Macaca mulatta: one gene and its partner. The protein of the gene in region 1 interacts with the protein of each later gene in a pairwise test. Links are inferred from orthologs where the notes say so. Each region holds a gene or a part of one and is shown on either strand. Other genes may lie near its edges.

Region 1 (2,284 bases):
GGCACTCTGAGACCGTCTGGCTCGCCCCTTCTGAGCCACCCGTTCCAGCTCCCTGCGCAGAGACTGCAGCTGCTCCCGCAGGTCCAGCGTCCTGTTGCGAAGGGGAAGAGGAGGGCTCACAGCCCTAGCCCATCCTATTTCCCACGTCTCCTCCTACCCACCTGCCCACAGTATTGTCATGTAAACACACCTGTACACAGGGGTACACCTTAGCTTCTGCTGCAGACAGCCCCCCCGGGGGCTGTCACATAGGCTGCCCATCCCCACCCAGCCACACACCTGGTGAGCGATGCTGCCAGTTCCTGGGCTAACTTCTCTGGGTCCCAGGCCCTGCCCACCTGGCCACCATCAATGCCACTGGTGCCACCAGGGACAGCAGGAAGGCCCTAAGGGAGAGAGAAGACAACAAAGTGACATTAACCTGGGCCAAGTCCGTGCTTGGCCCTCACTGGACATTGAAGCTGCCCAGACAGTGGCAGCTGCTGTGCTCTCAGAGACCCCCGTCTGGTTCCATACCCCAATAAGAGCGAAATTACACTCTGATAAGGGAAATATCTTATTTAATTTAAAAAAAAAAATTTTTTTTTTTTTTTGAGACAGAGTCTCACTCTGCCACCCAGGCTGGGGTACAGTGGCACGATCTTGGCTGACAGCAACTTCTGCCTCCCAGGTTCAAGCGATTCTCCTGCCTCAGCCTTTCAAGTAGTTGGCATTACAGACATATGCCACCAGACCTGGCTACTGTTTGTATTTTTAGTAGAGACGGGGTTTCACTATGTTGGCCAGGCTGGTCTCGAACCTCATCTCTAAAAATAAAATTTAGGGGCCAGGTGTGGTAGCTCACGCCTGTAATCCCAGAACTTTGGGAGGCCGAGACGGGTGGATCACTTGAAGTCAGGAGTTCAAGACCAGCCTGGCCAACATGGTGAAACTCTGTCTCTACTAAATATACAAAAATTAGCTTGGCATGGTGGCAGACCCCTGTAATCCCAGCTACTCAGGAGGCTAAGACAGGAGAATCGCTTGAACTTGGGAGGCGGAGGTTGCAGTGAGCCGAGATTGTGCCACTGCACTCCAGCCTGGGCAACAGAGCAACACTCCGTCTCTAAATAAATAAATAAATAAATAAACATTTGGGCACGGTGGCAGACGCCTTTAATCCCGGCTACTTGGGAGGCTGAGGCAGAAGAATTGCTTGAATCCGGGAGGCGGAGGCTGCAGTGAGCTAAGACTGTACTATCGCACTCCAGCCTGGGCGACAAGAGCAAAACTCTATCTCAAAAACTAAATAAATAAAGAGAGATGAGGTCTCGCTCTGTGGCCCAGGCTGGAGTGAAATGACGTAATTGTGGCTCGCTGAAGCCTCCAACTCCTGGGTTCAAGTGATTCTCCCACCTCAGCCTCCCCAGTAGCTGGGACCACCCTGCCTGGGTAACCTGATAAGGGAAATAAATAACAGGAAACCTCATCTGAAGTCACTCCAGGAGGGTTTCCTTGAGGAGGTGATGTCTAAGCTGAGATCTACAGGAGGTCAAGGACTTTATGACACAAAGAGGGAAGTTCCTGGCAGGGACACAGAATGTACAAAGGCTTGGAGGTGGGAGAGATGATTCAAAGAGCTGCATTAAGGACAGGCGCAGCGACTCATGCCTGTAATCTCAGCACTTTGGGAGGCGGAGGCAGGCGAAACATTTGAGGCCAGGAGTTCGAGACCAGCCTGGCCAACATGGTGAAACTGCATCTCTACAAAACATACAAAAATTAGCTAGATGTGGTGGTGTGTGTCTGTAATGCCAGCTACTCAGGAGGCTGAGACAGGAGAATCACTTGAACCTGGGAGGCGTAGGTTGCGGTGAGCAGAGATAGCAACATTGCATTCCAGCCTAGGCAACAAGAGCAAACCTCCGTCTCAAAAAAAAAAAAAAAAAAAAGGGGGTCTGTGATTGACAAGGGCTATGTTCTCATTAGTAAGCTACTACCCCTACCAGGTTCAGGCAGGGCGGCTCACCTGATACCACTCTTCCTCGTCCCCACTGCTGCCACCTCCGCTGCTATGTCCACCACTGCTGTTTGCCCCACCAGTCCGGAGCTCCGCCCGTTCCCACCGCAGCTGCTCCAGCAGGAGCACGTGAGCTGGACCCAGAGCTCGGAGGGCAGCCTCCCGCAGCTCTAGGCCCCGCTTCTCACGCCTCACCAGCTGCAGCCGAAGCATCAGGTCCGTCAGGGCCTCCTGCGGGACCAAGGAGAGGGGAGAGAATTTCTGCTTCTACGGTCAACTGCAGGG
Region 2 (4,096 bases), about 34 Mb from region 1:
TAGAGCCAATGGTGGCTGACAAGGAGAAATCCTCCTCGCCCAGGAAGAGGGGCTCGGGGGGCAGGGCAGGGGCTGGAGCCAGGCGAAGTGCAGCCTGCAGCTGCTGGAGGGTGTTATGGATGAGGACATGCCTGCGGAGGCTGGGTGCTCGGGGGCCCAGGCTGCGCTGGACTTTGTCTAGGGAGATGCGGAGCAGGGCTTGCTGGTAGCTCTGAAGGCCTGCTGGACTCCACTCCCACCTCTCCTCCTCCTCTTCCAAATCAGAGTGTTTCCTCTTCAAGCCTCCCACCATGATGCCCTGTAGAGAGAAGAGGGGCATAGGGGCATGTCAGACACCAGACACCGTAGTGCTGGCTCAAATCCCACTTTTTCAGGCCTATTGAGTTGTTGGTGATTTTTAATCATCTGAATCTCGGTTTACTCATCTATAAAATGAAGGCTGTCTGAATCCTACAAGGTTAAGGAGGTGAATACATATGTGATTAAGAAAATAAGATCTGGACTTAAGTACAGCTAGATTTAAATCCCACTTACTTGCCTATTGTGGCCTCAAACAGTGAATTTACATCCATGAGAATCAATTTCCTCATCTGCCAAATACGGATCCTAACAAGTTCCTCTGAGCCTTAAAACTGTTCTTCCACAATATTAATTTCTTCAAACATGGAGCACGAAAGACAGGTGTGGAGCAGAGAGACCTGGATTGGAAGTAGGGAACCCCAAATTTGATTTCTGTACTGGAAACTGCTCAGCTGCGTGATCGTGGGAAGTGACCTGAGTCAATTCTCAGGCCTCAGTTTCCTCATCTGTAAAATGGGGACTGTAAAAAAAATACTTCTCACCACCTCTGTCTAAGGAGATGCCACGTATCTATAGGGCCCACCACACAGGAAGTGCTTAATGAACCAGAGTTGTGTTTTGTTTTTTTTTTTTTTTTTTTTTGAGACGGAGTCTCGCTCTGTCGCCCAGGCTGGAGTGCAGTGGCCGCATCTCAGCTCACTGCAAGCTCCACCTCCCGGGTCTACGCCATTCTCCTGCCTCAGCCTCCCGAGTAGCTGGGACTACAGGTGCCCGCCACCTCACCCGGCTAGTTTTTTGTATTTTTTAGTAGAGACGGGGTTTCACCGTATTAGCCAGGCTGGTCTCGATCTCCTGACCTTGTGATCCGCCCGTCTCGGCCTCCCAAAGTGCTGGGATTACAGGCTTGAGCCACCGCGCCCGGCCGTGTTTGTTTTTTTTTGTTAGAGACAGGGTCTCGCTCTGTCGCCCGGGGCTGAGTGCAGCAGCGCTACCATAGCTCACCGAAGTCTCGAAGTCCCGGGCTCAAGCGATCCTCCCGCCTCAGCTCCTGAGTAGCTGATTACTCCTGAGTAGGGATTACTACCACACCCGGCCTCGATCAAGAGTTAATTGCCAGTTATACGCTCAACAGATTTACTGAGTGCCTACTATATTCGAACTTCCTGGGTCCCTGCTGGGGCACCTATGTTAAGATTCTTCTTTCACAGTCAGGATATTTCCATGTCCTCTTCCTTAACCAACTGGGAGCGCTCCCAAGAGTAGGAAAGGGGCCTCATTCCCTCTGCCCGCGCTTTCAGATTCCCCCAAAGCGCGCCCCACAGGAAAACTTGCTAGAACTCAGCTCAGACCAAGCCCCGCCCCCTAGGGGGGTCCCGCCCAATCAGACCTCGGCACTGCAAGGCCCCGCCCCTCCATGGGTCTTTAGAGAGCATCCAGGAACGCCCCAATTTGTCCCAGGGGCTTCTGGGAAACGGGGGCCAACAGCCGCCAGGTACACGAACCGACGTCGAGCACGCACTACAATCCCCAGAGGGCTCCGCCCGTCCAGGGGACGAGCCCCCCTCCCCCGACCCCGCTCTCCCTCAGGGCATGCGCACAGTGGCACAAGCGAGTGGGGGAAGGGAACCCGGACGTCCAGCTGCCGGCGCCCACCGAGCCCCGCCCTCCGTTGCCTCCGGGGCGGCGAGTCTGAGCTCCATGCCCGGAACACCCCTCCCCCACCCCTGACTCCGGCTCTAAATCTGCTTTCTCCCTGTCCCTCCGTGCCTTGAAAGTCCGGGATTCTCCTCCCAAACTGCCCTTGGATCCAGAGACCCAGATCCGAACACTTCGCTCAAAGACGACAATGCTGCGATCTAGTTCGCGAGACTACGTATCCTAATTTTGATACTTCCTCCCACTTCCCCTATTCTCCTGACTTTCAAACGCCCCTGGACTACACCTCTAAACTCGCTGCCCGGCTCCAAGACCCGAACATTGAACTCTTCCCGGCATCCTCCCTTCCCCCGCCAGTGCGTCTTGGAGTCCAAGAATCCTTGACCCTAGCTCTCTCGCTTCTCCAAATACTCAGGATCTCAGCCCCAAACCTCTCACACCTTTTCCAGAACACGATAAAGCCCCGAATTCAACCCGTCCGGAAGACCCAAGTGGAATCGAATCTCCAGGTTCCCTGTCTCAAAAGTTCCTTCCCTCTGTTCTCTCGCTTCTCCAAACGCCCCACGCCCCACGTCCCAGCTTCAAACTCCCTCCACTTGAAAATACTGCCCCAACAACCTCGCATCCCCTCCTGGGTCTCGAACTCAGTCTCGGGCCCCCAGACCCTCCCTATCATCACCCTGAATCTGAGGCCCCCTCCCCCGGTCTCACCCAGACCCCGCCTCCGCAAGTCTCCGGGGCGCGCCTCTCCCTCCTCCAGCCTAAGGTAAATTCCCAAGCCAGGCGACCACTCCTCACCCCAGCTGCCAGGTTTGCCACGACCACCTCCTGGAACGCCCACAGCGTCGCGACCCGCCAGTGCCGGGACCCACCAGTGACCGGCCGGGGCCTCGCTCACCTCGGCAGGGCCTCTCCGTCTGGCTTCGGGCCCACCCAGCCCCGCCCCGGAGCCGAGCCGCGAGCCGCGATTGGCTGGAGTCCCGCCCGCCGCGGGGCGTCGATTGGCTGGGCGGAGCCATCCACCCTTGCCCGGAGACGCCGGACCCGCCCACCCCTCCCTAGCGCCCCGGGCCATTTAAAGGAGTGCAACTGGCAGGGGGCGGGGCAGCGCCTCCAGGGGTGGAGGGCGGCTGGTCCAAGAGAACCGCTTCCTTCCACTGGGCTACGGTCCTCGCTCCAAGATCGTCACCACTACTCCCTGCAGTCCCTTTTTGCCAGGCCTGGACCCCACCGCGGAGCCAGAGGGGCTGGCATACCCTCTGGCTCCGGGAGGTCCAGGCAGGCGGGGCCGAACAACCGGAGGAGGCCGCGCCCCCGGGGTTCCGAGGGCGGACGCCGGGGCGGGGGATGACGTACCGAAAGACCAGCCAATGGTGTGACGCGGCCCGCGTTGCCTAGGCGATCGCAGCCCCGCCCCCTTGCTGCGCTTCTCCCGCCCCCCGTACGTTACCCCGCGGCCCCTTCTTAATCCTCGAGTTTTCTCAACGCGTCCTCTGGTGGTCCTACCTGGGTCTCCTGACACCTCTCTTCTTCCCCGCTCCAACAAGATGACTCCTCCGCTGCTGTTCATGGCTTCCTACCCCTCCTCCCCGAAGACAAACTTCAAACCCCTTCCTTTTGCCACAAAGCCCCTCACGACCTTGCCTGATGCGCTCTCCTGGTTCTCTCCGATCCTGCCCCATTGAGTCACTTCCAGTTTTTCTAAAATGGCTTCAAGCTCCCATTCCCCCCATCACGAAAACGAAAGGATTTTGTCTGTTTGTTTTCTTCCCTGCCTTACCCCAGTGTCTACAATGCCAGGTACATAAGTTCTCAAACATGACAATAAAAGGCCTCTGGATCTTTATTATTTATTATTATTATTATTATTATTTTTTTTTTTTTTGAGACGGAATCTTGCTCTGTCACCCAGGCTGGAGTGCAGTGGTGCAACCTCGGCTCACTGCAAGCTCCGCCTTCCGGGTTCACGCCATTCTCCTGCCTCAGCCTCCCGAGTAGCTGGGACTACAGGCGCCCGCCACCACGCCCGCCTATTTTTTTTGTATTTTTAGTAGAGATGGGGTTTCACCGTGTTAGCCAGGATGGTCTCGATCTCCTAACCTCGTGATCCGCCCACCTCGGCCTCCCAAAGTGCTGGGAT

The links. The genes of interacting proteins can lie anywhere in the genome.
Region 2: the proteins of USHBP1 (region 1) and SERTAD3 interact in binary tests that used the Homo sapiens proteins (3 or more experiments, as listed by UniProt). The two-hybrid records come from large-scale screens. The link is inferred for Macaca mulatta from reciprocal best matches to the Homo sapiens genes USHBP1 and SERTAD3.

What each region holds. Positions count from the first base shown.
Region 1 is NC_133424.1:17,739,118-17,741,401, forward strand, and holds part of USHBP1 (harmonin-binding protein USHBP1), read right to left. Parts: intron 2,231-2,284; coding exon 2,009-2,230; intron 387-2,008; coding exon 280-386; intron 92-279; coding exon 1-91.
Region 2 is NC_133424.1:51,551,264-51,555,359, forward strand, and holds the start of SERTAD3 (SERTA domain-containing protein 3), read right to left. Parts: upstream 2,801-4,096; 5' UTR 2,755-2,800; intron 1,622-2,754; exon of another isoform or gene 1,303-1,621; intron 804-1,302; exon of another isoform or gene 535-803; intron 299-534; coding exon of another isoform or gene 293-298; coding exon 1-292.